3 linked regions of the Arabidopsis thaliana genome follow. The protein of the gene in region 3 interacts with the protein of the main gene of each other region in a pairwise test. Each region holds a gene or a part of one and is shown on either strand. Other genes may lie near its edges. The genes, in order: AT1G10820, AT1G68160 and AT2G38090.

Region 1 (11,806 bases), on a different chromosome or scaffold from region 3:
TAGAATTAATATTTGCATCTGTTTATTGACGATTTCTGTATATGTCGTGCTAAGTTTCTTCCGTGGTTTATTTCTGCAGTGGCTAGGTCGTTTCTGCAGGCGATATCGAAGGATGAGGCGGTGGCTCCTCCGCTTAGAGTTGTTCAGATCGAAGGACTGGTAACGTTTCTTAGTGTTCCCTGATTTTACGGTTTTAAGTGTTTTTCCTCGTTTTCTGCTGACCGATGGTGTTTGATAAATAAAAACTCTCTAGGTGAAGCTAATTTGCCCATTATCATTTGGTAGGAAGTTGTGATGCTGAGAATTTTGTTTGCTATTGTGATAGGCTGTACTAAAGATAATCAAACACTGCAAGGAGTTTTCACCGACCCTTGTCACTGGACAGCTTCTTGGACTTGATGTTGGTAGCGTCCTCGAAGTTACCAATTGTTTTCCTTTCCCGGTATGTTGATGAATTTTACACGCATTGTGAGGATTTAAGAGCTTGTTCATGATTGATGTACATGTGATTTACTGGAATTTGTATCTTAAACGAGGACAGGTCAGGGATGATGATGAAGAAATTGAAGCTGATGGTGCTAATTATCAGCTTGAGATGATGAGATGTCTGAGGGAGGTTAATGTTGACAACAACACTGTTGGCTGGTAGGTTTTTTAATGACATCAGTCTGAGTTCACTTGTTAAATTTTTTCTTGTGAATGTATTTAGATCTGCCTAATTCTTTGTTCAGGTATCAATCTACAGTTCTTGGTTCGTATCAGACTGTGGAACTGATTGAGACCTTCATGAATTACCAGGTACTTTTTTTTTTGTTAAAGAATCCTGTCTACCATGTCATTATAACATTCTAGATTTGGTCTGTTCATATGTTATGCTCTTCATTCAGCTGGAAATTTATATGTATAGCATGGCTACTCTAGTGTATGATAGGTATATTGGCATGTGTAAAAGTTGAATGTAAATTGGATCATGAATATATTTTCTGAGACTTTTTTTGTCCGCAACTCTGTTACAATCCCTTGCAGAATCATGATATGAACTCTTAAGAAATGATTCTTCTGCATCTACAGGAGAATATCAAGAGGTGTGTGTGCATCATATATGATCCCTCTAAAGCTGATCTAGGCGTCTTAGCTTTGAAGGCTTTGAAGCTTTCAGATTCCTTTATGGAGTTGTACCGAGGTGGAAACTTTACTGGCGAGAAGTATGTATCTTGATCCATTGAAAATCTAGGTTTTATGAGCCACTTAGGATGATAGTTGTAACGTTTTAATCACTATCTTTTTCAGGTTGAGAGAGAAAAATTTCTCCTGGATGGATATTTTTGAGGAAATACCTGTAAGTCTCTAGCTTTCTTCTATATTGAATTCTTACCAGCTAATCTTTTCAAGTCACTAGGTTGGAATTGTTACCTAATTATATTTTCCTCTGACAAAAAAAGTGGTTTAAATGTTTGTTACTTTTCCTTTGACAGATCAAGGTTTCAAATTCTGCCCTTGTCAGTGCCTTTATGACCGAACTGGAGACTGATACACCTGTCTCACAGGTACAATACTACTATCTGGATAGTGATCCTTGCTTGCTGTCAGCATTGCAGATTTTGACTCTTGATACTTCTGTATTTTCGCCTTTCTAGGGCGATTATGATCGTCTACACTCATCAACCACTCCTTTCCTTGAGAACAATATGGAGTTTTTGATTAAATGCATGGATGATTTATCTATGGAACAGCAAAAGGTGTGGTTTCTTCTGCACTCTTGTTCAATTCTCATCATCAGAAGTCCGAACTATCTTAACGCAAAATCTTAATTTATTTCTCCAGTTCCAGTATTACTACCGGAACCTGTCTCGTCAGCAAGCACAACAGCAAGCCTGGCTCCAGAAGAGAAGGTAGGTTTATATTTTCTGCAGAACCTTTTTGTTCTAGTTCAGGTTTGATTAGTTTCACTACCTCGTTATCTTGGAAGGTGATACAACTTTACTTACGAGAGTTGTGAATGCCTTGTAACATTTGTCTTCAGCTTTTCCTTGTCCTTTTGATCTTCCAACTAATGAAAGAGGTGTTTGGTTTATAGAACGGAGAACATGGCTCGTAAATCAGCTGGAGAGGAGCCTTTACCAGAAGAGGATCCTTCAAACCCAATCTTTAAGGCGATCCCTGAACCATCTAGGCTAGAGAGTTTCCTCATCACAAACCAAGTCTCAAACTTCTGTGGCCAAATCAATGGGTATGTTCCTCTTTAGTATTGTTTCACCATTTTTGGAGCTTTGAAAGATACTTAAAATGAGTCGACCTGTTGTTATGCAGAGTGGCTGGCCAGAACTTCAGCAGGCTTTACCTGACCAAAGCATTGCACGACAACTGATTGCAAAGACTACCCAAGTTTTTGTTTTTTGAGTCAGAAAGTGAAAGACTTGGTGGTAGAATGGATCCTATATTTGTTTTTCGTGGATGTTTTTGTTTTTATTTTTGTTGTTGTGAAGTAATTTAATTTACAAGCTTTTCAAAAAAAATCTTTATTCTTATGCATAATGAAAAATTATTGAAGTTTTGAAAGATTTATCTTGTATTGGACCTCTGATTGCCTTACAACAAATTATACATAGTTATCAAAATCCTAATCAAAAGAGTAAAAAATCTAATTTATAGAGATTTTATTATAGTTGTAGTGTTAGTTCCATCGCTAAATCCCTTGAACGACAACGTTTATTATTTCTTCTTCGGACGATTGTTTGAAGAAATTTAAAAACGACATCTTTTTATTACTTCCTCTTCGAAAGATTGTTTACCAACAAGAACAATGGCGGTTTATCATCTCCTTCTCTCGAGCCCACCTTCGCTTCTTCTTCTCCCTCCTTCTCCTCGCCGCCCTAACCTCACCTTAATCCGCCGTATCCCAGCTCATCCTCGCCTCGGAAACTCGACCAGCTTGCTTTCTTCTTCGTCACCGGTAATTCGGAAAATTCTGGTTCGTAGCACTCTCCGGGAAGACCAACCCATCGCCTCTGACTCCGAGAGTAGTCCTACTCTACTGATCGGTGAAGATTCTGCTGCTTTTGAATTAGGGAAACAGAAGCTTGTTTCCTGGGTTTATTTCGGTGTTGTCCTTGGAGTTGTTCTCTTTATCCTCAATGTTGTTTGGATCGATAATTCCACCGGTTTCGGAAAATCATTCATCGACGCCGTCTCTAACATCTCCGGCTCACCGGAGGTATAGATCAATTTAACAGTAACTGAACCAGTTTCAATTTCAGTTATTTGATTGTTAAAAACCACTTGTTTTTGCAGGTTGCTATGTTAATGCTTATCCTTATATTTGCAATTGTACATAGTGGTTTAGCTAGTCTAAGGGATATAGGAGAGAAACTTATAGGTGAACGAGCATTTCGTGTTTTGTTTGCTGGAATCTCTCTTCCTTTAGCTATGAGCACCATTGTGAGTACTCTCTCTTCTAACTCTGCAATTTTTCTCCTGATCAATGGTATAAATACCTGTTTGATGTCTCTTATGGTCTATGCAATGCCTTGTTCTTCTTTCAGGTTTACTTTATAAACCATAGATATGATGGGTCACAGTTATGGCAGCTTCAGGGTGTTCCTGGAGTCCATGAAGCTATTTGGGTCGCTAATTTTGTATCCTTCTTCTTTCTCTATCCTTCAACCTTCAATCTTCTGGAGGTAGCAGCTGTTGACAAACCGAAGATGCATCTCTGGGAGACCGGCATCATGAGAATCACTCGACATCCTCAGGTTTTGAACATTTCCCTAATGTGCCTAAACATGAAGACAATTTCCTTCATTTTTGTGTTTCAAAAATACAGAAAGATTGGATTTTTATGAGCCAAGGTTTATTAGTGGCTGTGTTAATGAGACCCCCAATCATTGAATCAATTATGGGCAGGTATTGGCCATTGACTTAAATACACCCATTACATCAGCACAATCAAATCTCCTCATCCTTCTATGTTTATTACATCAATGCTTGATTACTTTACTTGATATTGCTTTTGATCTTAAAATTCTTATCCAATTGCTTCATCATGTGTTTGGAAAAACTTGATAATATATAGAAAGATAGGCATTTTAGCTTCAGTTTTGGTTTGTTCTATTCTCTCTTCATTATACTGGCTTTGTTAATGAGACTTGATTGTTGCACCTCTCTCCTCTGATCTTCTCCAGATGGTTGGACAAATCGTTTGGTGTTTAGCACATACTCTCTGGATCGGAAACACAGTAGCTGCATCAGCTTCTCTCGGTTTGATTGCACACCATTTGTTTGGGGCGTGGAATGGAGACAGGAGATTGGCAAAAAGATATGGAGAGGATTTTGAAAGCATCAAGAAGAGAACAAGTGTGATTCCATTTGCTGCCATTTTCGAAGGACGGCAAGTTTTACCTGAGGATTACTACAAAGAATTTGTCAGGTTGCCATATCTTGCAATCACTGCGTTAACGGTTGGGGCATATTTTGCTCACCCGCTAATGCAAGGTGCAAGCTTTAGGCTTCATTGGTAAATTATATGTCATGCTTTAGGCTTCATTGGTAAATTATATGTCATTTATGTTTGTTTGTTTCCTGCAGTGTTCATAAAGACTTGTTAAGGAACAAATGTATACAAAAAGCCATATTGTTTGTGATACTTGACTCTTCTTCATTTCTCGATTATTTTGGCTCAACACTCTGTAACCACTATGTGTGAGTTCGATCCAACAAGTGGGTTTAGATTAGTATTAACTAGGAATGTTTAATAGTACTGCTAAATGAATATTTAGGTAAAACTATTTTGTATATAAATTCCCACTCAGATGTCATGGGTCACTCTGACGCCTACCACTATACTAATAGAAGTAAATTTTTCTTTTTTCGATGTTTAGTTACAATCGGAAAATGAATCTAAATTTTAACTAATATTAATAATATGCCAAGATCTCCATCCAAATCTAGATTGATATCTACATATTGATGCCTTGATATCTCTAAACTCTAAAGATAAACTTAAAGGCAAGTGATTAATTGTTAACTAAAATTAAAAATTAACAATACAATTTTAATTCGCTAGTTATAAAAATTTTATTACCAAGAAGAATATGGAAAAAAAGGAATTGGAGGCAAAAAAAAAAAAAAAAAAAAAAAAAGAGGCCAAAAGAAAAGAAAGCAAAGGAGTATGAATACAACAAAGAGGTTCTGCAAGAAACAAACAACACAGCCAATTACTACTAAACAAACACACTCTCTCTTTCATTCTTTCTCTCTCTCTCTCTCTCGATTTTCTCCCATTGGAGTTCGCAATTAGCTGCCACTCTCTGATCGATCTTCTTCTCACATCACATCCTTTATAATCTTCAGTTCTACTGCTCGGAGGTGTTTGCTTGCGTTCTCTCTTGTCGGTCACATCCCTAATTACCATCACTGCCCCTGATTAAAGTTTTACTCTATCTTCTTTGTTGATGCCAAATCTGAGGTGGGTTTCTCATCTTTTTATTCTTTCAGCTGTGTTTTGTTTCATTTATTTGTTTCTGGATTTGCTAAAACCCTAAATTTGATATCTTTGGGGGCATCATCGTAGCTCAAATCAGCTTCAATTATCAAATCTCCACGAATGATTCCAATGGATAATCACTGCTTGCCAAGTACTAGCACCACCGGTCTTGTATTCCCGACCAATTACGGTGTTAATGCGATTAACGCTTCCTCCGGTTTTCACCCAGCTGTGGATGCTTCGGGTTCAGTGGCTGCAGGAGTCAAACAAGAAGCTGCTTTGGTTATGGATTGGTCCGTTGAGGAACAGTATGTTTTGGAGAACGGCCTTGCAAAGTAGGTATCTTCGTTTCTGCTTAATTCTTTGGATATTTCCATTTCTTATTTTTTTAATATCCTAAATGTGTCTTTGTTCATTCGTAGCTTTTCAAACTATGCTTATATTTTTACAATAACAATACATAAAAGTTGAAATCGGGAATTGTTTTATCAGAAAAGTAGTAGTGGGAACATTATATTCTCAATGGTGGACTATTAAAGTATGTTCCTTTGTTCCTTCTGATTATAAAAGTATCGCCTTTGTGTGTTCCATGACATTGTTTTCTGGGACTGGGACCATTAGTAAGTTCGGGTTAAGTTATCGATTTTCTAGCTGAGGTTGTTCCTGGTTACTTTGGTTTTCTAGAGTCTGTAGCTTGTTTGTTCTATTTGTTTGCATTTATGACATCTTTATTTTTTTTCCGTTTGTAGATTAAAAGATGAACCCAAAATTTCAAAGTATGTAAAGATCGCTGCAACTCTACCGGATAAAACTGTAAGGGATGTAGCATTGAGGTGTAGATGGATGACGGTAAGTTGGTTAAGCTTCCTTGAGCTATGTGCATACTTCCTGTTGTTTATGTGCTTTTGCTTAGATGACAAGAAAAATTACCACTCTAGACGTCTCTCAAGGATATTTCTTTTGCTAGGGAATTACTTAGTTGTCTCTAGCATTCCTTTTCAAGTGGTATGTGGCTGTTATGGAAGGATTTTTGTTGAAGGATATTTCTGTCACTGTTAAAAGCATATGCTAAATATGAGGGAATCAGCATGATGATGCAATCTTGCGTGTGTGCTTTGTGATAAAGATAAAGTCCTACAAAAAAAGCTAGCGGTTTTATTGATGAAAAGTCATTGACATGTCGTAAAGATTGTCTAAACACTGGTAAAGGACGAGCAAAAAGAGAAAATGACAAGTATTGCTGACGCTAGATTAGTCTTTATATTAGCTTTCGAGTCCATGATTGTGGAGGAATTATTGGAAAAGGAAATAAGCCTAACGCTTTTTGTTAATTATTTCTGTAGTTATCCTCACATAGATTTTACTTTTACGGGTGATGGCTGAGACTGATCCCTATACTTTTATGGTTTTTTTTTTAAAATGATTATATTGCTCGCAGCATGAGTTTACATACATCATAATGTTAATTGTTTGCATAATAATGAAATGAATTAATGAAGTACAAATGTACAATGCTTTATTATCATCATATTTCCATCTCCTTCATGTCTCTGTCCTTTCATAATTGACTTGAGTTTTCAATCAGATATATGATGTAATCAAACATAAAGCTGCAAAATTACTCCGTTTTCTTTTAATTTAGTGCTTGTTTGCCACCAGATATCTATCATGGTCTTTAAAGTTCTCTTGGCTAAGTCGGGTATCTATTTTCACAGAGAAAACGGAGGAAACGAGAGGATAATAATGCCGCTAAGAACATTAGCACTAGGAAGGTATGCTTGCCCACCTCAACCTTTCTTGTGTCGTATTTACCAGTTAATAAGTCGATGGAGGTAGGTGCCTCATTTACGTTTTGGGTTAAACGGGATTTTCCCACAGATGTGACTTTTATTCATGCAAGTCTGAGCTAACGATGGTATTTTTCAACGAAGAAACTGTAATTGGCTAAATTGCTTGTATGGTGGACTTTTCATGAGAACATATTTTGTTAGTTCCTGACTAAGAAAAAGGACTGTCTGCATGACTGGACAATCAATAAAGTTTGTGATCGATTTTTCAATGACTGACGAGCAGCAAATGATGTTGATCCAACTCTGCAGAAGTATTAGCATATATTACTTATGAGTATCTGAGCTTGTGGGCATGTTTATAATGATAATTATAAGGTAATCTAGTGATTGTTATGACATTTGATAAAGGGTTAGTGTGTGTGTTTCATTTCATGCACATTCTCCTTCCTGGGTCTTATGAACTTCTGTAGATCAATATGCTTTTAAACTTGGTTCTAAAGACCATGCTTCTTCATGGTAAGGTGGTGGATACATCCCCAGAACTGAACATGCTATCCAATGTGCCACAACAAAATGCTTTATATGTCCTGAACAATATGTGCCACAGTACACGCACGCCTTTCGAAGGTCTAGTGCTCTTTTAATTCTTTGCTCTTCTTCTGGGTTGTGTGGTCTTAAAAATAAACAAAATCAAATTGTCAGCTAGGTACTTTTGTTGAACTATTCGCAGGTTTAAGTGACGCAGTAATGGATCTTCTACAGCAAAATGCTCAAGCTTTTAGTCAGATTTCTTACAACCTCTCTGCGTGCAAGGTAATTTATACTTGCAATCCTTTGTGGCTAGTTGTGCGAGAAGATTGACAGACTGAAACTGTCATACAAGTTTGATCAAACATTGTATACCAGATTTCCTACATGCTCAGTTATTCTTTAGAAAATAATTTGATACTGTTTCCTTTTGCAAAGTAATTCGCACATAGATATGCTAACTTAGTGCATACAGCTGCAGGATAACATCAGTCTCTTTCATCAGGCAAGAAACAATATCAGCGCCATTTTGACTGAGTATGTGGATCTAATACTAATTCAATTTTCACAATTGAGACATCTCATCTGTCTTCCTTTCTATAATTTAAACCTTCAATTGCTAAATTCTTAGTTTCTTCTGCAGCATGAAGGAGATGCCTGGAATCATGAGTCGGATGCCGGCTCTACCGGTTTCAATTAATGATGATCTTGCAAGCAATCTATTGTCGAGTACAACACAGGTAATATATTTTGCTACATATGTCAAAATAGCTAATCCTGAAAAGTTCGCCATGTGACCTCAAATAATTAGAGCTTCTTGACCCAAAAAGTGAAACATATTAAGATATAAATATGAACATAGAAACCATTAATGTTTTTTAGTTTTATTGATCTCTTGAGGATTTCTCTTGGAAGCTGGCCATGCCTGATGTTTAGTGGATTGTTTCCCTGTCTCACAGCCAATATCGTACAACATTCCACCAAGCATCCACCTGAAGCAAGAGCCAAGAAGTTGATGGGGAAATCCGGATTTTGACCGATACTAAAGTAAATAGTACAAGAGCCTGGTACGTGGCAGTATTTCCGTGGACGACATGGCAATGTTTATCAACTGCAGACACCGCTTCAGAACATGAGATTCAACAATCAGTATTGGTAAAATCCTTTTGCCCTCGGGTAATTTGACAGAGAAGAATGAATTAGACTCCTTCTAAAGCCAAGGTAAAACTCTTTGATACGAACAAAATGCTTTGGCCGTAATTCGATCATAGGATTCCTTGCAATTCGTAGAAGACGGCATAGGTTGATAGAACTCAAAAGTCTTTTGCTGTAATCTTCTTGTTGAGGCTTAAATTAGTATAGTGACAGTTCTTTTGAGTGGTATTCAGAGGCCGGTTATGTGTAACACAAGTTCTAGTTAAGGTAATAATTTATCATCCTCTAGGTACGTATACGTTATCTTCATGGTTTAAGTCGTGATGTGACACAAATCATTGTATATACGCATTGTCACCTGTCTCAATTCATTGTTATAATGTTTGCAGAATCTTCAGTCCTTATTAGAGATTTACTTTTAAAAAGTTTCATTAATTTCAGACAGAAACAGACAAACAATAATGTAGCTTAAAGACGATGATGAAAAGTAGTTCAGAACATAGCTCAGCACGATGGCAGAGTAAAACTATTACAGATGGTTTATGAAGTCCAAGAAGACAGTGGTGGAGTTTCAGAATTCTTGTAAGTAACTATATAGGTGGCTGACCTTTCCCCTTTCACAGAATCGGGATGTCCCATGGCGTCAAGCTCGGCCATCTCTTCGATACTGAGTTTCACAGATAAAGCTCCTATGTTCTGATTAAGGTTTTTGATCTTAGAGGTTCCTGGGATTGGGCAGACATCATTTCCTTGGTGATGAACCCATGCCAAAGCTAATTGTGCAGGAGTACAGCTTTTCTTCTCTGCCATTGCATTGACCTTCTCATAGAGAATCTTGTTGTGGTCTAAGTTCTCTTGCTGGAATCTCGGTAAACCCTGAAATTAAGAGATGGTGAATGTGCTTAATACTCGGCTCTTTTCTTGAATGTACTTAAAAGAGATGGTGAACATTCATATAGTGATGGACTTGCCTTTCTGTAGTCACCATTGTCCATACTCTCAATGAATTTTGGTCCTGCAGCAAAGAACCCCAGTCCCAGAGGACTGTAAGCTACAATTCCAATCCCGAGCTCCCTGGAGAAAGTAATGCAAAGAATGAACATTACAAGAGGAGGATATAAAATTATATCAAGGAAGAGGGATGTTTGCGGAAGATTCTGCACCTGCAAGTAGGAATGATGTCTTCTTCAACGTCTCTCGACCATAAAGACCATTCCAACTGCACAGCGGTTAGCGGGTGAACAGCATGGGCTCTTCTTATAGTCGAGGCACAGGCTTCAGACAAACCAATGTACTTTATCTTACCCTCTTCAACTAGCTTCTTCAGTTCTCCAATCTTTGAAATGGCAGGACAAGACAACACCATAACAATCAGCTGAAGGATTCAAGAAAGAAGAAAGATTGCCAAGAAAAAGCTTACAGTGACTTCAATGGGGACAGTGGTATCGATCCTATGCTGGTAATAAAGATCTATGCAGCTAACTCCTAAACGCCTTAAGCTTGCTTCACAGGCAGCTCTCACATAGGCTGGATCTCCCCTGTAACCCAATTTCTGATCTTTCAAGAGAAGCCCAAATTTGGTTGCCAATTCCACCTTCTCCCTCATCCCATCTTTCAAAGCCTGATTACATTCACATAGCCAAGCAATTTCAAATCCTAGGCAACTCAATAGTGTATGAACAAACATAGGATATCTCGAATTCAAACCTGACCAAGGAGCAACTCGTTGGTCTCAGGACCGTAAATGTCGGAGGTGTCGAGGAGTGTGATGCCGGAGTTAATGGCATGGTGAATGAGAGCAATGAGATCTGTCTCAACCTTGGTAGTTCCATCGAAGATGGAAAGTCCCATACAACCAAGACCTTGCGCTGACACTTCAAGACCTTGGCTTCCTAGCTTGATCCTACGCACTCCACTTGCAGCTGCCATGGATTCAAATCTCTCCAAGTTTTTAAAAAAATTCTCACACTTTTGCAATCAGTAAAAGAGAGATCTAATTTGCTATCATAGTCAATGCAACAACGAAATGGAAGTCTTGAGAAAAAAGGCTCAAAATAAAGTTGTCCACGTTGAACTAATAATAATGAATTCTCTCTGCATTCATGGCGTCAAAGACGGAATAGTCTTGTAATAAACTTTACGTTATTTGCAGTATTTTTGATATATGTAACTTTTAATTGAAAATCTGTTGGTCATTTGTAGTTTGAATTTTTATCTTCAAATTGTGTTAATAGGATTGTCTTTCAGATTTGGCAAGTGTGTTTCTTCACTTAAGAAATAAATAAAGCTTGTATCATATCTCAACCTTACTTGCCTTTCAAGCCATCTTTCCAAAAATAATTAATTTCCTAAAACTGTTTAAAATGGTTGCCTTCCTTTAAAGCTCATATCATCATCTATCAACAACTTCCAAAACTTTTCATCTTTTGATGAACATCATCAACACCGGAACAGTTGATAATGTCGAATTCTCGATCCAAAACCTAATCAAGAGTTGGTGCAGACGACGGAAATGGAGGCAACTCTGCAACTTCTCCCCAAAACAACAACAAGAAGAACTCATCTCTATCAACCAACAATGGAGAATCACTTTATCAAACTTCCTAGAGTCATACCAAGTTCACCTTTTCACCATCTTCTTGCTCTCTCTTGACATCATCTTAACGTCCCTCGAATTATCTTCTTCTCTGCTATCCTGCACATCAGTCAAGAAAACCGAAACCGAAAATGAATGGTTTCGTTGGGGAGGAACCGTGATTCTGAGCATTCTCGCCGTTAAATCCATGGCTCTGGTTGTTGCTATGGGGAAGTCATTCTTCAAACAACCTGGATGTGTAATGGATGGTACTCT
Region 2 (10,851 bases), on a different chromosome or scaffold from region 3:
TAAGATAACGATTTTATATAGGATTAGATCTACTAATGTAAATACTCTTAATAGATAGACAATTTCAAACGGTTGTCTCGGTAATAATATTAGTACAGAGCTGATAATTTTGTTGATAAAGTTTTTGGCAAGAAAGAAATTAAGTTAATAAAAGGACAGTTAGTATGAAAATAATAAAAATTAAAAGTCTTCTAGTTGACTATTTTTAGATCCGATCCCGAGGCAAGTATCTTGTTCTCGGTATTTTTGGTACGAATTATTAATTGCTAATTTGAATTTCACGTTAGTGATTATAATAAAAATAAATAAGATATCACATATAGACATCTTCTTAAAAGCACACTAACTAAAAGAAAAAAGAAAAAAAGAGACATGTCAAGTTTCTTTTATTTTTGTGTACATGTCAAGTTTGTAAACCATAGTTTATTGCTTAAATAAATCACATAACGCTTAAAAGAATCCAAAATCCGGACTTCACATATGTCACACATATTCTATCAACATAACCTGTATGTACATCGAAATCATAGAAAGAATATTTTAGGTTAGCTAGTAGCCTAGTACTAATGGGATAAATGAAATTAGTTATCCTTCTCTTAAAGATGAATCCTTGAGATCAAGAAATTTTGTGAGATTGTTCAACCAAACTAACAATAAAACTTATATTATTTGATACAATCTAAATATAGAATCAGTTAATTCTTTCTTTTTTCTTTCTCATATATATTTATGATCTCATAACACCAATTTGACTTTAAGAAGATATCTATTGAAATTTTCAAAACAACTTTAATAGGAAAATTCAAAATATATAGACAGCGCCATATTCTAGAATATTCTTACTCATTATGAATTTTTGAATGTTTTGATTTATAGACCTATCTATGATGTTGAATTGAGTAAATAAAAAGTTTAATGGTGCGTTTGATCTCACCCATCTTTTTCTTTATTCAGTATTCAATCTTTATAACTCTACCTTATTCGAAGAGATGAATTCATCTAGCTATAAACACATCAGTGACAAGTTTAAAAAAAATATCTACACGTTCGATGGTCTTCTGTATTTCACATGGTACCATCCATGTGAATGTGATGGGAAATTTCGCAGACCCTAATGCCGGCCATAAACTGGATTTACAAAACTAAACAATGTAATACAATTTTCAAAGAAACCGGATCTAATTATCTTATTGTCACTTAATAAACAAACTATATAAGAGAAGGGGAGGAATATATGTATACACTTTTTTATGACTACTAGGATGGTAACCAAAGTCATGATTCCATAGTAACTCCGGTTTAATTGCTTCAAAGGCCAAAACTAAGCTCTTTATTAAGTAACATGGATTAGTTTCTTCATAAAGATAAAACTAATTATTTAAACAAAGTCAAAGCTAGCTTTAGATGCGTACTAGAGTGAATAATACAAATAGTAAACGATATTCTGATCAGAAAATGGGATTTGACTTTAGCACTTCAAAATCCAAAGCTAAAAGACAAAAAAGAATAGAGGTTCGATTTGCATCTCCATTAATGGGCATCGATCTTTCTCTTAAGCTCGAGGCCGAGGAGAAAAAGAAAGAGATAGAAGGATCGAAACATAGCCGTGAGAACAAAGAAGACGAAGAACATGATGCTAGTGGTGATGAAGATGAACAAATGGTGAAAGAAGACGAAGATGATTCTTCTTCTTTAGGTTTAAGAACCCGAGAAGAAGAAAACGAACGTGAAGAGGTACCTACATGCGTATATATACATACATCAAAACATTTTATGTGCGAATATATGTTAACATCTATGGATGGCGATCAGCTCTTGCAGCTACAGATCCAGATGGAAAGTGTGAAAGAAGAGAATACTAGGTTGAGGAAGCTTGTCGAGCAGACTCTTGAAGATTATCGTCATCTTGAGATGAAATTCCCGGTTATCGATAAAACCAAGAAGATGGTGAGAAATTATTTCTTCATACACGTTATACATAGTGGTGACTGGTGATAATTAATATGAAACTTGATTGATGTTTTAACCTAGGATCTTGAAATGTTCCTTGGAGTACAAGGCAAACGATGTGTGGATATAACAAGTAAGGCTCGGAAAAGAGGAGCTGAGAGATCTCCGTCAATGGAAAGAGAAATAGGGCTTTCACTTTCTCTAGAGAAAAAACAGAAACAAGAAGAGAGCAAAGAAGCTGTTCAGTCTCATCACCAAAGATACAATAGTAGCAGCTTAGATATGAATATGCCACGTATCATTTCATCTTCTCAAGGTAATAGAAAGGCCAGGGTGTCCGTGAGGGCGAGATGTGAGACCGCAACAGTGAGTTTCTTTATATCATATCTTGGACTCAGTTTGGAGATTGGTAACATGATCATTTAATAAGAAAGATGTGTGTGTGTGTAGATGAATGATGGATGCCAATGGAGGAAGTACGGTCAGAAAACCGCGAAAGGGAATCCATGTCCTCGAGCTTATTACCGATGCACCGTGGCTCCAGGATGTCCCGTTAGAAAACAGGTAACTGCACACACCCTCAAATTCCGGGGTCTTACTATTTATTTATTCAAAGATAAGATTTTATGTTAGGGAACCATTTTGATCAATTTACTGATAACGTAGTATTTTATAGATCTTCCAACTCAAAACGAATTGGTAATGAGTTGATTCGTCTATGTACTTTATATATTACTTTATGTCCAATGTAGAATTCATAGCATGTCATAACCACATTTGAATGGAATGAAACTATGTATATATATATAGTTGATAATGAGATTTGTTACATTGTGAAGGTGCAAAGGTGTTTAGAAGACATGTCAATACTGATAACAACCTACGAAGGAACACATAACCATCCACTTCCGGTCGGAGCAACAGCCATGGCTTCCACTGCCTCTACTTCTCCATTCTTGTTACTCGATTCCAGTGACAACCTCTCTCATCCTTCCTATTACCAAACTCCTCAAGCCATAGACTCTTCTTTGATTACATACCCACAAAATAGCAGCTACAACAATCGAACCATAAGAAGCTTGAACTTTGATGGTCCATCTAGAGGAGATCACGTTTCATCTTCTCAAAACCGATTAAATTGGATGATGTAGAGTTTCCTATATCTCTATGCTTGTTCTTTGGTCCCATTATTTGTCATTATGGATTCTTTGCCTTTCTTCTTGTTCTCGTTTCTAACATTTATGTTTCGTATATACAACATCGAAGGTTTCGGATTGTTTTATTTCGTTCAATGTTGGCTTATGAAAAATAAAGATTGATTAATGCTAAGAAAAAATGGGTACCAAAACAACACACCAAAAGATCAAAAGATTAAAGATGCAAATCTCAACACGCTCTTCAATAGAATCTTTTTTTATACACATCGATCGCTTAGAAATTCTCCAAGACACTAATTGAACTAAGTTTATCTAATAGAACTTGTTAAGAAGGTTTTTTAGTTAGGAGCCAGGACCAAGAACCCCTACATTCGTTATATTATGTCTTGTTTCAACATCCCGCGCAGCAATAAAGATCGTTGGTGTTACGAAAGAATCACATTTCTACAAACTTCCCAACATTTGATGAGCTTTTTTTTACCTCCTCCAGCTTCTTTAGGATAATTTACAGGTAACTAAGGGAAACCAGATGATTTCCTAAGACTTCTACTTCCTATGGAAGCCGCCACTTTGCATCGTATTGAATGGCATCATCACCTGGTACAAATCGAGGAAACCAAAGTCATTGATATTGGGAAGCTATTATTCTTCTGCTCTATTTGCTCTTGATAGACATTTCTACAAACCAAAACATTGAAAAACTGGTCTTAAGATACTCAGCTAGTTAGAAGCACAATAATTCTATATTTTGAGCACTTGAACCAGAGATATGGGGTTTGAACTACGGTAGTGTCTGAGGTAAAACAAGCAAATGGGTGATGTGGACATTTTGATATCTAAAACAATGGACTGTTAATGCAAAAGTGAGCAGCCTATTAACTTACTAAAGTAGTATTACTCACCGAGAGATCATCATTGATTGTGACTGGCAATGGTGGCATCTTGTTCATCAATCCAGGCATATTATTTATCCTGCCAAATCAAGACAACGTCTGGTCACTAAGCTCCACAAAACTTATACACAAAATGTTTAAAGTATCAACTTACTCATTTTGGATGGTGATAAGGTTGTTCCTTGCCTGACGAAAGAGATCTAGGTTATCCCCTGCCTGTTTGCAATTATCATTACGGAGCGGTTTTAGCAAGAACACATTTGCATTCCTTTAAACAAGGTAATCTAGAACTTACCTTATATGAGGAGAGATTAGCTCTAATTTGACTAAAAGCTCGTACATTCTGTTCTATAAGATTTGTTGCATAGCTACTTAAATCTGAAACAGAACCACGAAAGAATCAGTAAGAAAAGAAAAGAGACTAAAGATTATTGTGACTTCAACAAAACTTCATATGAAAGAGAGCTTAAAGGATCATCTTTACAAGGTAATAGGATCAGAGAGCGGACTTAAATAGAATTTCACCATTTAAACATACAATAGTCATTATACTCCTTTACTAGATGTATGAAATAAATAATCTCAAGAATGCACCTCTAGAGAAGGACAATGCAGTTAAGAAACCAATTTCAGTATCTATGGGTAAAGGCTTCTTCCAAGACTAAACTACTTTAGAGACGTAGTTATGTTAGCATCGTCCCAAGAAGCTAAAAGTCTAGCTGAAATACACTAATCCCCTATGAACTTATTTATATAACAAAATACATACTTAAACGACATTTGCACCATAATACATACATCAAAACGTATTGCCTCCTTTTGAAAACAAAATATGATGTTAATGTGTGCATGTCAATGAAAAAAAAGACCTGGAGTTAGCAAATTCAGGTGGAAATCTCTCAGATAAAGATAGATGTTAACCTTCAGACGTAATTTGTTTACTGGTGCTTGTAGATGGCCCTGAGAAAGGATATGAAGCCATGTTATGAGGCAAAACAGAGGGAATGCTTGACTTAGACGACGATTCCACCTGCTTGCCCTGAAGAAATATAAATCTTTTAGTACAAAAACCTAAATTAATCAAAAGATATTCAATCTCAATCCTAGCATCATCTTTCAATCGAACTTACAAAAAAGTCACTCATCAAAATTGAACAAATGGCAAGAATTTCCAATATACCTTGCTAGAACTTGCTCTTCTTCCACAGTTTAATTCTTCTGATTTTCTTCTCTTTCTCTATGCAAAACAAAGTCAGTACATCAACAGACGAAGACAAAAGGTAAAAGTAAGAAATGATTCAGTATATAAGAGAAGAGAAGATTTTGTTCAAAACTCAAAGACTGTTATGCTCACTATTCTCATCTCAAGAACTCAATATTGATACAACTCAGGCATCAATAAGACCAAAAAGTCCATCCTAAGGCAAAACCATTTCATTCTGTGTACTGTAGTTTAAGAAGCTATGTATGAAATCAGAACATGTAGAAACTGTTCCCTGTGTATCATTTTTCTTTGCTATACATATATCATTCATGGCATAAGCGTAGAACTACATGACTGAAAAATGGTCACAAGAAAGCTACAAAAACCGTCAGAACAAGGCAGATATGTGAAGAGAGATACTTACCCTCAGCCACCTACACCGCAAAGCAATATCTCGAATACTTTTATCAGGTAAAGTGTTTCCAATTTGAATATACATATCAATACTTGGCATATCCTTATATCTACAAAAAACACAGAATCAGATCATATCAAATTCCACAGAACAAAAAACTATCTTCATATCCTCATTAATGTTAAGAAATCACAAAACAAGAAAGACTCACTTTTCAAGACCAGCATCCAATATGTATTGTTCTTCATTTGACCATTCACTAACCATGGAAGTATCAAGCTTTAGACCAGAACCCGAATCGGAACCATTCGAAGAATTCCCGGTTTGAAGAAAACCAGGAGAACCAACATTGATCATATTCATATTCATCCCCAAGTACGGACTCATTGGAGTCATCTCCGAAGAAGTGTTAGATTGGAAATTAATAGCGTGACGACTCATCATAGAACTCAAAGAATCGAACCCAGAATTTGATTGAGTAGCCATCCACATAATCGAACACAAACCCAAATAAAAAGATTAAAACTTTAACAATTAGAAATCAAACCCAAAACTCTCCTTTGATCAGATATGAAAAAAGGATCAAACTTTGAGAAGGTGAATCATCTTACGCCATGGATAAAGCTTGGAACTTTATAAACCCTAAGTTAAGTTCTCACAAAGAAACCAAAATTTGATTTTGTTTACCAAATCACAATTTTTTTTTTCTTTTTTTTTTTTTCTCTTGTCCTCTGTATATTAGACAGAGCAGCCTTGTAAGCTATAAGCCAATGAAGGATTTTTAGACAAATAATGAAAAAATTATTAATACATTACTTTATGACTTTTCACCATATTGATGATAAACTTAATTGAAATCTAATATTAATTATTTTCCAACACAATTAGTTGAAATGGAAAAAAATGGATTTTGACTATAAAAGTAAGTAGGAATGGGGAATTTTAGAAAAGATTCTCTTCCTAAATTGAAGGGAGAGATATGACTAAGAACATATTCATTTTTTTTTTTTTACTACCAAAATTAGTAGAAAAAAATAAGAAAATAGGTAAATAAATAAAAGAGATGGTTGGCAGATCGTGGAATTTAGTAAATAGTGCGAATCCCAATAATAAAGCATTTGATGCCTTTCTTTCTTCTACCTCACTTTTTTTATTCCAAAAAGTTTTATCAAGTAGACAAGATTTTTTTTTTTTTTTTTTGTTTTCTAATAATGTCAATGTGTGACATCCTCGTTGTCAAAATCTCAAGATATATGAATTTGATTCATATTTTTTCTTTATGTTAATACAAAAATTAATCTTAGCATCTCAATAATTGTGGGATAAACTGATCCGTTCGTACAATACTTTTACAATTATATGCGACTATGAAAATAATTGGACTCATAGTTATGAACCAATAACAGAAGCAAGCATATAAAAATCGATGAAGAGTTTTTTTTTTTTTTTTTGATATTTAAGAAATTATTGATACACTAAATAGATCAAGAAATATATTCATACACCAAAATGATGTTTTGATTTCTGTTTTTTTTTGTCAACATTTATAAGGAGCGAGACTCGATCCTCGATGTCATGTTCTCAGTGGACTTATCATTTGCAACAAGACTACTATCACTTAACAATTTTGATTTCTGTTTACTATCTAAATGCCATCAGCTTTTATAATTTTCATTTTTTTTCACTAGATAAGTTAGGTTTTTTAAAATTTGTTATTAACTCACACTTCAAATCTTATCAAGATTTTACTAAGGTAAAATTGATGTACCGTCGTTTCTTTGTCGTTGCAATTTTCCTCGATTGATGTATGCTCTATTAGTCCAAATTCAATTTTCATTATCCCCAACCCGTATAAGTGAATTAACATAAGCTTCTGGTAAAAAATGCTTATCAAATGAAACATGTTAAAAGTCATGGACACTTAAACATATTATCAGGCCTGACGTTTATATTGGGCCACATGCTATATTTGTAAAAGACTAATTTTATACGCATTTAAGATTTTGCTTAAGAAACGAATAAATTTGGGCTCTAAAATGCTATGAGCCCAATAAACTGCACATTATACTTGCTCCACTAACAGTAATACAGTTTCCTTTTTTTTGGTAGGCTAATCTGAACAGTTTCCTAATAATGCAAATCAATATAATTAATTAAAGATTTGTTTCATTCAAGTTAATTTAACTCCGAACATTATGTTATGAAGAAGAGAAAGACTTTGTTGTTGGACTTGATGCACTCTTTCGCTCATTAAGGTGATCCATACATTTTAATTTCAAAATTGTTGGCAGGAACTAGATTTTGGTTTTACTGATTTACAATGTTATTAACTACAAAAAAAACAAAAAACAAAACAAATAAGTTATCATATCTATCAAGTCTCAACTATTAACTTGTGGCCTTAGCATCTCCAAATTTCTACATTATCCCTGCTTTTGGTTTCTTTAAGACTTTAATCCCAACCTTAATTCACAGTTTTTTTCTCATATATATAGTCCTCATCATGTAAGTAAGTCCTAGCTAATTTTGCTGAAACCACTCTCTCATATTAATTTTTCGTAATATGTTTAGAAATTAGAAAATAAAATAAAATTAGAAGCTATATATAATTAAAGTTTGTTCCACTAAAGAAAATCTCAAAAGTGTAAAATTGTCAGAGATAATTCATCTGTATAACTTTAAAGTAACGGTGTATACTGAGTTATAACACACAACTGACGTACGTTACTAGAACTATGTTCGTGAATAGAAATAAAGATGAGATTCCTTAAAGCTAGATAAAAAATCAACGGCCAAGGTGAAGCATATTTTCATAAACCATGCATGCCTACATGAAACTACTTGCGACAGACACTAAACAATTCGAAACACTTCGTATTTTGGAAAAATAAAAACTATTGATGGGCTACAAGCAGAAAGCATGCATCGCACGTGTCAACAGCATCTGAACACGTTGCTGGATTCTCTTTTTGTTCTTATGCATTCCGATTTGTATATAAACGTGAACGGTGAACTACTTTTTGGACAATTTATACTTTTTTTTTCTCTATCTTTAAACTAGTTTTGTAACAAAATCACCCACTTACACGTACACTATCTACGTAAAGTGGAGTGCAAAACAGTTCATATCCGTGGAGGTCTAGTAATTTATTTCAAGAAGTTCTTAAATTTATTTTTTTGGTCAGGAAATTTAGAATGTTCTTATCACATTATTCTTAAAATGCATTCGTTATGTTATGTGAATGCACTAGCCAAAAATAAATAAATGCAACTACCATCATTGGTTAATATTCATGAAACTTTTTTTTTTTTTCATGAAACTTATATATCTATTAAAAGTTTAAAACCTTATTATACGAAATGTTTGAGAATCTATTATCTGTCACCACCCGTTTGTGACCAGAGAGTAGATTTCTAAAGTGTTTTGGATAAGTTTAGTGTTTTAGAGTATTAAAAAATTTAGAAGCACTTTTCATTAGACTCTATATATGACATATCTATAATAATATTCCTGAATTTGAATTTAGCATCTACTTATATCGCATAACTCATTTATGGTACTGAAATTTAGTGGAAAACAGCTAGTAAAAGAGAAGTATTGGTGTGATAAATAAAGCTCAGAGGCTCAGGATAAGTCAGGATTCCTTAACTCATTTTAGCTAGCCTATCTCTCTCTTTCTCTCTCTCTGTCTCTCCCTATATATAAATCGATAAATAAATGAGTGTGAGGTAATTAAGGAACTAGAAAGGAATAAGAAATTATGGAGAGAATATGTGAAATGTGGAGAGAAATGAAAGATATAACGGCAATGGTGGTGGTTCAAATAGCTACGGCAGGGTTAAACATATTTTTCAAGCTAGCAATGGAAGATGGTATGAACCCAAGTGTACTCGTGGCCTATCGTCTCTTGTTTGCTACACTTTTCATGATTCCTATATGCTTCATCTTTCAAAGGTTGTTTTTCTTTCACATAATATGGTTGTGTTTGTATGCTTTGATATTAATTAACTTCATGTGATCGATTAGGAAGAAGAGGCCAGAGTTTACATGCAGGCTGATGTTACTAGCATTACTCTCAGGGTTACTCGGGTACGTAATAGTCACACACACACACACACACACACACACACAAAACGAAAAATCATTTTTCGTTTTTTTGGATGTCCTCTTGTGTCCTAAGGTTATATATATGTTAACTTTTTTGTGATAAATTTCTCAAAATAAACCATTTTATAATATACGAAATTGAAAAAAATAATCTATATACATGGTTTGAGTGTTACAGAAGTTTAATGCAAGACTATAAAATTTATATATTCCTATATATGTTCAAATTCGATTTCCTATTGGTTTTCAAACATATTAGCCACTGGCTAGGTAAGTCGTCGGATATTTTAGCTTAGGTAGCATGAGTTGAATTTAGTTCTTACCAAAATCTCCTCACCACAAAACCACAATCCAGAGCACACTGGTTTTATAAAACGTAATTAATCTTCTAGAGTTTAATTTTACTTAAATTTACTTTAAAGTTAAAAAACGTATACTTAGTCTGAAAAACTTAAAATGTACCAAAACATAGAGAACTCTAGAAGATTATTTGAACGTATTCAATATTATTATCTAACATTCAAACAGGGTAGTACTTAGTAGTTTTAACCATTCTACTCAATATTACCAACTAGTGGTTTGACAATAAAAACCAACATGTACCAAAAAACATAGAAGACTACGTTTTGGCTGAAAATACTAGTTGATAATATTGATTATCATTAGTAAAATGTAAAATTGTTGAAGAATATATATATATTGGGATTATAAGACTTCTTTAATGTGGTGATAATTGAACAGTGTGGTGATACCAAGTATCCTAACCATTACGGGTCTAGCTCTAACGTCAGCAACATTCACCTCTGCTGCTGGCGTTCTCACTCCATTGGTCACTTTCATCTTCGCTGCACTTCTTAGGCAAGTCTAATCAACGAATCACAATTTAGTTAACCCCTTTTAATATATGTTTATACCATTAAACAAAATATAATAAACTTTTATGGGTCTCATAGGATGGAGAGTGTACGGCTTGGATCGAGCGTAGGGCTGGCTAAGGTTTTTGGAACATTGTTTGGTGTTGGTGGAGCTCTTGTCTTTATATTCTATAGAGGAATAGAGATCCGACTATGGTCAACTCACGTTAACCTAGTGAACCAACCACGTGACTCCTCACGTGATGCTAC
Region 3 (9,980 bases):
TAACTATAGGTTGTTATGAACTGGCAAAAGTTCAGGTCTCCTACAAAATAGTTAGTTTATCTTCAGTTTTCTGTATATTGAATAACATTATCAATAAAACCAGCCTTGTTGGTTATGACCAATATAACAGAGTATGATAAAGAATTATCTTAGCCGGTCTCTTATATTTTATTATAGAATCTATAAGCACGTCTATGCCTCCATTAGCCTTCTGTTGAATGTCCGGGTCAATTTTGATCAGTACCTTCAAATCTTGCTTTCATTAGATTTATCTGTAGAGCTGAAGGTGTTCTGTTTGTTGATAGCATTGTTAGTCATTGATTTTGTTTCCACATGAGAAGTAATATATGGCGTCTTTTCTCCGAGTCATCGGTGAGTTGAGATGTGGTTTCTGCTTTTTGATCTTGTTTGATAGTTCAACATTTTCACCACGATGCCACATTGGTCAATACTTGTAATCACTAGGGTTTTGTTTTATTGGTTTCTTGATCATCATGTTTTTTCTTTTCTTATATGTCAGTTCTGTCATGGGCTTTTACCGTTGCGTGGTTTACCCTCTGGATGTTGATGCTATACTTGACGAACGAGATGAAGCTAAAGTTCACAGACGCAGCTGCGATTGTAAATGTGTTTGCTGGTGTATCAGCTATTGGTCATCTTGGCATGCAATTTCTTGTTGATGCATTTATTGGTCACTTTTGGATGCTCTGTCTCTCTACTTTAGCATTCAGTTTCGTAAGACCTTGACCTCCTCTTTAACTTTGGTTATGTAGTATGGTTCTAACTTATATTCTTTGTCTAGAATTGAAATTTACGCTCTCTTCTGTTCAGGGTTTCGGGTTCTTGGCAATATCAGCGTCACCAATACTTTCAGGCAATGGACAAAAGGGCCTGTTCTACGTAGCGCTAACGGTTATATCCGTTGGTATATTTGGACGGTCTATCTCTTTGGGAGTATTTACAGAAGACCAACTAGAAGACGGTAGGAACAAGGGAAACCCCGCCAAGCTCGTTAGCTTTGTCATTGGAAATGTGGGGAATTTTGTGTTCTTGTTACTTGCTGCTATTGCAATGCCTCAGATAAGTCCGTGGTTTGTTAGGTTCACGATCCCCTCGGGCTGTGAGGTATTAGCAATGCTGATTTTTATTTCCGGTGCGTGTTCATACAAACGGGTTAAACCAGGTGGGAGCCCTTTGACAACGGTTTTCCGGGTCTTTATGGCTTCTGCTTCCAAAATGTCTTGTGCATACTCGAACAACTCAAGCCAGCTCTATGAAAAAGCTGAGTGTGATCAAGATATTAAGCCCCACACAAGCAGCTTAAGGTTCAATAAAAATTCACTTCATTAAGAGTTGTTAACCCACACTACTGTATAACACTCGTAACTCTTGATTTTTTCAAACACAGGTATCTAGATAGAGCTGCAATGATACTCCAAACAGAGTCTTTGGAACAACAGAGGAAAAACAGATGGAAGCTTTGTCGGGTGACAGAAGTGGAGCAAACGAAAAGCGTCATACGCACGGTTCCTTTGTTTGCGACATCTCTCATTTCGGGGATTGTCTTCTCTCTTGGTAATACTTTCTTCCTTGAACAAGCAAACCATATGGACTCCAAGTTCGGATCATGGAACCTTCCTCTCCCACTCCTCTTACTCTTTAGTGAAGCTGCAAGGCTAGGATCCCGAGAACTATGTGTCATGGCTGCAAAACGCCATGCCATTGACTTCCCTGAATCACCTAAACAAACCAAAACGCCTTATGGTATACCAGTCTCCATCATCCTATCGATATTTTGCTGCTCCATCGCTGCACATGTTGAGTCTAGGAGGCTCAAAGTAGTTAGTACTCAAGGTTTACTACATGAAACTGTCCCCATGAGTGTATTCTGGCTGCTCCCACAGTACATTCTACTCGGTTCAATCACAGGAATCTACGAAAACAGCTTTGCGCTTTACCTAGAAGAAACGGTGCCTGAAGAGTTGAGCCAATACATGGTTCTATTAAACGTGGGAGTGTGCGGGGTCGGGATCATGAGCAACATTGCTCTTGTTAGTTTGGTGGGCAGTGTAAGCGGAGGCAAATGGTTTCAAGACACAATAAACAAGAGCCGGGTGGATAACTATTATTGGGTTATAACAGTGTTTTGCATGTTCAATCTCTTGTTATATTTCATTGTAACCTATAGGTACACAGTGTGTAACAAGAAAGATGGTGCAACACAAGAAAATGATCGAAGGATAATCGCTTCTGTGTAGTACTTGTGTTGTGTGCCCAATGTTTCAATTATACATGTATGAGGTTAGATGAGGTTATTGCGTTTGTGGCTTCGGAAAAACATAGAAGAGAAATTAAAAAGGAATTCTCTCAATGTTTTTGACCAAATCCTCAAATCATCTTCAGGCAACTAAACCATGTTTGCACACACATTAATAAACCAAAGACTAAATGGGACTGGGACATCAGCTCACTTTAAAACTGAACCATTAAAACCTTCAATGACTTTTAGAAACAAATAAAGTAAGTTATGACTTAAATTGGAGGACAAGATTTAGAAAAACAAATCGAATTTTATGGAAAATAAAGAATTTAGTCCAAAATAGATTTACAAGAATAATTGGGAATCAACGGTCTTCCTTCAAATTCAAATTTGCAATTACATGGAGATACTTCTCGTATTACTCACAGTCACAAGGCATCAAAATGGAACCCACCGAACATCAAGTTAAAGAACAAATTCACTAAAATTTTGAAAGTTTCCTAAATCTTAAAAAAAGTAACTGCAAACTATTATTCTAGTTAAATAATCAGAAAGTCATTTTAAAGCCTGATACCTCTAAATACCATCATTATCTTTGCCTATGTTCGAACCCCTTTGATGAGTGTTAAAATGTTGCTCTTATGAAAATCACATTATTATTTTAGTATCTATCCAAAGGTTGGAATAAAAAGTTATTTTCTTCTGAATCTAATTGTACTGTGTATGGTTGGAAAGAAGATACAATACAAAAGATGAACAAAAAAAAAAAAAAAAAAAAAATGTTAATTTCCCAAGATGAGGATTTAAAATTGCCAACTTGGTTGAGGAACAAAAGCATATCAATCATTGTGGCTTTTTATTTATGGTCTTTCTTTAGACTCTCTGTAGATTCTCATTCTCTTGTCAACTTCGAACTTCAGACAGTCCTATTAAATAAAACAGTTGGGAAAATAAAAGTAATTGAAAACTAAATTCTAATTACATAAGAAAAAGGGTTTAGATGTATGCTAAGTGAGAAAGCGTCATTATCACCACAAAGCCAGGTTTCGATTACACATTTGTCACCACAACAAGTTAAATAATCTTTGATTAGTGGAAAACCCACTTGGCACTTTACATACTTTTGGCTGCTTATTCATAAATAGATAATTCATTCTATACCAGAACAACCAATTTAAAACTGATTTTTACTTTTATTTTTTGTAATTAACATTTTACATTTAGACATCCTACATATTGTTAGCCTCAATTTTGACACTGAAACTTGAGAGAGTTCAACCATTATTAAAACTAAAATTTGGCACACAATGAGATAAAAAGAGAAAATGGAAAGTGGCAAAATATCTAACAAAGATTTAAAATCATAATTTATTAATTATAAATATCCACCAACAAGGAAAAATACTGTAATGAAAGCCTATATGACAGACACAGCATAGATTAATAAGCAATTTGAGCTCAAAAGAGTTCCAAATCACAAAAATAAATCACTCAAGTAATTAAAATAACAAAACCTAATTAATTTGCTGAAAACTCGTTGAATCAACCACGGAAAAAGATGGTAAACAAAACAACAAATAAGTATCTCGTAATAAAAAAATAGCAGCTAATTTTGTTTTTTGTATATGCACGCCGATTAAGAGAAAAAACAAAAATTATTAATGATTATATAACTCGTAACTTCTCCGAGATCTTCACCTTGTGAGCTACATTTGGAGATACGCATTGTACGATTCGAATTGCGATGCGTTCAGAAAACTCTGCTCCTGAAGTTTTGCCATGTAGGGCGTCGAAGACATTCCAAGTAGCGTTTCTGAAAACGCGTTTTGATTATAAAACGCAGCTGCTGTTTCATCGTATAGTGTTTGACCTTCCCACTCCGATGTCTCCCGCTGGTTTCCTCCTACGGAAGGTGGCGAGCAAGGTGCGTTTGCGGTTGCGTTATCCGCGGCTGCAGCGTCAGGAGAGTCGGGGATGTTGACGGTTGTGATATCATGGATGCTTGAACGGCGTTTGTCTTTGCCACCATTGACTTGCCGTATGAAATACTTTTGAGCGTGACTTGCGACTTGCGTTGGCGTTCTTGTGGTCACAAAGTTACGAGCTATGTTTCTCCAATCTCCTTTTCCATATTTCTTCAAACCCATCAGAAATTGTCTGCACATTCATTAACCATACCAAAACCTAAATAAACCAAATCGACTCTTAACACATATACAAACAACTAAACTAGATTTTATAGCCAAAATAAAAACTCATGTTTATACTAATGTTCCATGTCCCAGTACAATGTCCATGCGTGCAAAACAAATAACCGCACCAAGACACCAATGAAACCCATTCCACACATCAAGAGCCTAGAAGAAACAAATTTTATCTGCTCTGTATATAGTTTACTAATAGATTTATTAACTCGATACATAAAAAAAGGGTAAATAATTTTTTTGAGATTAACATAAACATGTAAAGTATCTACTCTACAAAATAATGTGTGTGTGTCTGCCTCTCTGTCTAACCCATACGTAGGTCATATAGACACGCACTAAAGATACAATTGTTTTGGTGGATGACTGTATAGTTTTAATTTTATAAATTACATACGTATATATATTTATACGATATGCGTATCTTTATACGTATACATAAACACGTTTCCAAGAAAAAAGACGTACGTATTTTTATAAAAGAAAGTGTAAAGGGGTCCAAATCTAGAGAAGAAAAGCATTGACGTTAACGTAGAGAGATGATTTAAGTTTACCTGTGTTCTTCTTCTGTCCATGGAACACCTTTCTTCCTCTCATGCTCCGCCGTTCGTGCGGCGGATCCTCTCTTTCCTCCGGCGGCGGAAAAGTAGTAACCGTTCATGTTAAACCCATTGTTACCGCTTGCTCCGTCGTAGCCACCCCAATCAAGTGTGAATGAATCAGAGGCGTAACCAGGGATTGGTATAAGACCAGCTTCGATGTCGCTAACGTCTTCCTCAAGCTCTCTGTATTGTTTGATCACATCTCCGACTGTTTTACCGGGAAGCATGGCAGCGACTCTGGACCATCTGTCGGGAGTATCTTTGTCGTAAAAGGCTAAAGCGTTTTCGAATTTCTTGTTTTCTTCAGCTGTCCATTTGGTTCCTCTGTTTTCTTGAAACAACCAGTTTGATGTCTCTAGATATGTTGCTGGTGACATAACTTCGATTCCTCTGTTCATGTTTTCAACGATTGTTGATCGAATCAAGAAAGAAAGAAAAAAACAGAGTTTTCGATAATGGTGGAGCTCAAACAGAGAGAGAGAGAGAGAGAGAGAGAGAGAGAAAAGTGGGAGATATTTGATCTGTCAAAATGGCATTTATTCAAATGGAATCTGAGAGAGAAAGAGAGATAAGCATCTAAAGCTTTGAAGAATCTAAAGAGGAGATCAAAAGAGAGCTGCTTTTTCCAGACTCTAAGGACAAAAGATAGATTCGATCTTTGAGTTTTGTTGTCTGAAACGATAAACCTCTCTTTAGTGGTCAGATCCGAATCCAGAGAAAATGAAAGCAAACAGAGAAGAGAAAACAGAGGATCTAGGATTTGGACGCTTTCTTGAAAACTGACAAGAAACCAAACAGAGAAATGGAGAAAACTCAGGTGGGTTTAGAGATTGAAGATGTTAAAGTGAACAAAATCCAATCTTTTTCTTCTTCTTCTTCTTTCTCCCAAAGGACCCAAACTCTCAAGTCGAAAAGGGAGAGAGAGATATAGAGGGAGAGAGGGGAGAGAGATGAATATGAAACAGGAATGATCTGAGAGTGAGAGGTGAGTTAAAAAGCTGTTGAGCTGTGATTGTCTTTCAGTATTTCCCAGACAAAAATTTCTGGGCTTTTCATTATTTTATTATTCATATTAAGATCTACGAGTTTTTTTAATTTCTTGATCACTTAAATCTACCAATTGGGCTTCCCTTCAAAATATACTAAACGTTATTGAAATTAAAATATATATATAAAGAAATCAGATAATGTAACAATTTTATGACTAAGGATAAATCAAACGGTAAAAATGTGTATAAATGAGAATGGCAACAGTGCTTAATTAACAAAATCTATGGTGTTAAATTATGTTACAAAACGTTTGTGAATAACGACACAAATAAAATACGATGCTATAGAAAACAATGTTGGTGTTGATGTATAAATTATACAATTTTCTGATCTAATTTTCTTAGGTAAGTATTCCACATCAACATAGTACAAGTACTATTAGTATAATTCAATTCTAATTAAAAAGGTTTCATTTCAAAGTGAGATTAGTTAAATATCAAAAACATTCTTTTTTATGTATTTCTTTTTCTTTTCGTTGTACCTTTTTAATTCAATCAACCAATAAACACTCGTCCTTGTATAGTCTATGATAGACCATCACATAATTCAGGAAAAGACAAGTGTCGTCTTTGAATAGGCAAGTCACACATGTTCAGATCTCATTTGTTCTCAAGGAACTTTGTTTTTTTTTAATACATTTTTATGCTTTCGAGGACCGTTGATTGATTTTTTTTCTATTAGTATTTATTTTTGTTTTATCGATGAAATTAATAATATGACTCAACTAATAGGAGAGGGGTTTTGCGGCTAAACGTTGCCTAATGATAGGCCAAAGACGTTTAGAGATTAACCAATCGCAGACTCAGACAAGACACACAATCGAGGAGCATCTCCCATTGGCTAACAAGATTTAAGGCGGTTATAAGGGTACTTCGGTAATTTGCTATTGGTGTTGACATTTAACCTTTTGGGCACATGAGTTGTTTGTTTGTATATCGAGATACTTTCTCTTTTTTTCCTAAGGGGAAATGATTTTGTGACAATGAAACGTTTAATACTATATAAATTTGGATCATAATCTCGATAACAAAAAGCATTGGAGAATGTGGTTAAACTAGCATGCTAGGAAACATAAAGGGGCATATCCTATCACAAACTATACTTATCTACGAAAATATGAATTACAAAATAAATAAATAAAATGAACTACAAAATTTAGTACAATGCCAAAATACGTATAAACTACAAACCCTAACAAAATTTTACAAAAATAGTTGTACTCATCTAAATCAATATTGATCTAAAAGGCGTTAATTTTTTGCATTGACATGTGACAGAATAAATTGCACAAGAAATGGCAATAAATATTTTTAGGCGTACTATTTGCTAAACCGACATTAAAGAACTGTCAAACAAATATAATTTTAATATGCAATGATGATTCCTTGCTTAGCTTCTTGGTTCAACGGCCACAGCAAAAAATTCAACATCAAGGAAGTAATTAAATAGTATAGTAAATGTTTAGTGATCATAATTGTGTGTCTAAGATAACAAGGTCGTAATAATGGAGTTTAGCGAGAGAGAGGTCGAACCTTAATTATTAATTAACGTATGAAATATAATCATGATGATATTCTAACAACATTTTTTTTTTGTTGTGTCTGCACATTCTAACAATATCTAAATTCCAAAAACTGGTACTAAGGTTTATTATGAGTTATGACCATAAGAATTTACGTAGCATATATATAAGATGATTTTCCGAAATTTCAAGAATAATTTCTTTATAGGAAATCTTTAGAGTTAAATCAGTTTTTTGTTTTCTTTTTGTAACTCGACTAATTTAATTTATGTATAGTTTACTACTATAAGATTAATGTATATTCGAAACACATTATGAACGGCAATCACACAAAACGTAAATTAAATACATACTGAAATGCTAATTAATCCTTCAGATGTTCCTCATAGACTCGTATCTTGGGACCACGCTTACTTTTCTTTGTAAATTACACTAATGGATTTCTTAAAACAAATAAACTGTCATGATTTATTTATAAATGGGTTAGGTAGCTTAAGTGATCACGCCATAACAGACACAATAATTCTTGAAAGTGTTAAGAATTTTTATTGTTATTAATATATCGCAGTTGAGAATTCACCATGTTGATCTAATATGAGACGAGATGAGTTTTTTCCTCTGTTTCCATGTTTGTAGCTGTATATATATATTGTGTAGCTAGAAACATGGTATACTACAGACTGAAATATTAGTCTGATTTGGATCAGTTCAAGATTTACCCTTTTATAATAAAATATATATTTTGGTTACAAAACTAAGAAATATAATAAAAACGAATGTCAAATTCAAAATAAATGTGGTTTACACAGTGCCCTCAACAAAATGGGTGGCAGAAAATAGTTGAATAATTATAAGACATTGTTTTTATGTATTTCGAAGATTATCAGATGCAAAATAAAAACTTCAATAAAGTATGTTACCAATGCTAAAATTTTAGTAAAATTTATCAAAAGTTCACAATGGATGAACAAATTTAAATTTAGATTGTATATATAAATTTTTGGAATATTTTCTATAGTAAAACCATTAGAAATTTTAGACTTTTCTAATTATAGAAATATTTCGTCTCAAAATATTTTATGCATAAAATTTCAAGATGAAAATATATATTTCTACCAAATTCGTCTATAGTTATTTTAGAACGTGCCATAATTTCAATCTAAAAAAAATAAAAATAAATCAGTCTTTTTGAGTATGGTGAATTGGATCCAGCTTCATTAAAGTTTGAACTTGAATTGATACATAGTCTAGTAGTTTAATGCATCACCACTTAAATTATCATCTAAACTTCAATCCACATATTATCAATTTTTGACATGATAAAAATCTTCAAATTACCATTCCGTGCGATCCTAATTCAATGGACGACGTTAAGTAGCAAAGAGCCTTCACAGTATATCGAATTTTAATTAAAAAAAGGCGCCAGATGTTTTTACATGTAAATTTATATAAAAAAACAATAATATAATATGATGCTCTGTGCAACTATAATTCTTTAAATATCAGAGTTGTTTAAATAAAATGTCAGAGTTGTTTGTCCACCACTCACACCCAACACACGATTATTTTTCTACTAAATACTAATAGGGTCAATAAAATATTAAGTAAAGTTATTAGACGTTTTTTTAATTGGAGTGGTGCAAGACAATGACTGGTTTTGTTATGAATATTATTAATATCGTGGAGTTTCCCCAAAGGGAAAGCATCTTCTATTTCCGAATGAGGATACTTTTTTCTCCTCAATAATTTATTTTGTTATTAATAGATACATGTAAGTAAATATACATAATGACTATATTTCTTTATTTATCTTAAATACAGATCTCAGACCTTTTTAGGTTTCTTTTCTATATTTTGGTGTTACACAATACTTTTGCTAATGGTTTAGCTACAAAGCCTAAAATCATCTTCTTGCCACCACCACCTATGTAATATTTACATAATGATATTTTACTTCATTATTTATTGTTGTTGGTTAATTAAAGTTTAGTCTATTGCTCCTTACTACTGTAGATCTTATGAAACCAAAGAAAAAAAAAAGATTTTAGGCAAGAAAATTCATACTATTTGTTTCTTTGGTCGCCAAAAGAATTCTCTATTTCCAAATCAATATACTATATATGTGGCCAATAAGGAAATTTTATTCATTCGATGTTTTATGAATTTTCTATTACACTGATATTCTATTTTAGAAAAATTAGATAATACAATTGATAATAGTTAAAAATACATTTTATATTTAATAAACTATGGGAACTATGGGACGAAACAAACAAATGGGTAACATTTATCAAGTTGAAATTTGGCATGTTAAGCCTTTATCAACCTAGACACAATTCTCT

The links.
Region 1: the proteins of AT2G38090 (region 3) and AT1G10820 interact in a two-hybrid assay, tested with the Arabidopsis thaliana proteins (one study listed by BioGRID).
Region 2: the proteins of AT2G38090 (region 3) and AT1G68160 interact in a two-hybrid assay, tested with the Arabidopsis thaliana proteins (one study listed by BioGRID).

Annotation. Positions count from the first base shown.
Region 1 is NC_003070.9:3,598,447-3,610,252, reverse strand, and holds AT1G10820 (hypothetical protein (DUF3755)), read left to right. Parts: upstream 1-5,194; 5' UTR 5,195-5,464; intron 5,465-5,569; 5' UTR 5,570-5,602; coding exon 5,603-5,817; intron 5,818-6,231; coding exon 6,232-6,331; intron 6,332-7,197; coding exon 7,198-7,254; intron 7,255-7,793; coding exon 7,794-7,899; intron 7,900-8,002; coding exon 8,003-8,085; intron 8,086-8,275; coding exon 8,276-8,337; intron 8,338-8,443; coding exon 8,444-8,540; intron 8,541-8,759; coding exon 8,760-8,816; 3' UTR 8,817-9,343; downstream 9,344-11,806. Other genes in the region: TIF3H1 (translation initiation factor 3 subunit H1), read left to right, coding at 80-159, 326-442, 542-645, 732-798, 1,072-1,205, 1,291-1,339, 1,476-1,547, 1,638-1,739 and 3 more; Z-ISO (15-cis-zeta-carotene isomerase), read left to right, coding at 2,804-3,214, 3,292-3,438, 3,543-3,752, 4,182-4,517; AT1G10810 (NAD(P)-linked oxidoreductase superfamily protein), read right to left, coding at 9,496-9,831, 9,927-10,029, 10,119-10,291, 10,376-10,576, 10,663-10,884; AT1G10800 (voltage-gated hydrogen channel-like protein), read left to right, coding at 11,385-11,806.
Region 2 is NC_003070.9:25,542,515-25,553,365, forward strand, and holds AT1G68160 (ZZ-type zinc finger protein, putative (DUF3755)), read right to left. Parts: upstream 6,381-10,851; 5' UTR 6,112-6,380; coding exon 5,831-6,111; intron 5,729-5,830; coding exon 5,629-5,728; intron 5,238-5,628; coding exon 5,181-5,237; intron 5,040-5,180; coding exon 4,922-5,039; intron 4,379-4,921; coding exon 4,296-4,378; intron 4,217-4,295; coding exon 4,155-4,216; intron 4,080-4,154; coding exon 4,010-4,079; intron 3,705-4,009; coding exon 3,654-3,704; 3' UTR 3,244-3,653; downstream 1-3,243. Other genes in the region: WRKY9 (WRKY DNA-binding protein 9), read left to right, coding at 1,456-1,734, 1,813-1,947, 2,032-2,316, 2,401-2,514, 2,790-3,101; UMAMIT23 (nodulin MtN21 /EamA-like transporter family protein), read left to right, coding at 9,381-9,574, 9,647-9,709, 10,469-10,585, 10,681-10,851.
Region 3 is NC_003071.7:15,940,762-15,950,741, reverse strand, and holds AT2G38090 (Duplicated homeodomain-like superfamily protein), read right to left. Parts: upstream 6,160-9,980; 5' UTR 5,465-6,159; coding exon 5,019-5,464; intron 4,418-5,018; coding exon 3,967-4,417; 3' UTR 3,646-3,966; downstream 1-3,645. Other genes in the region: AT2G38100 (proton-dependent oligopeptide transport (POT) family protein), read left to right, coding at 348-372, 521-735, 832-1,325, 1,409-2,258.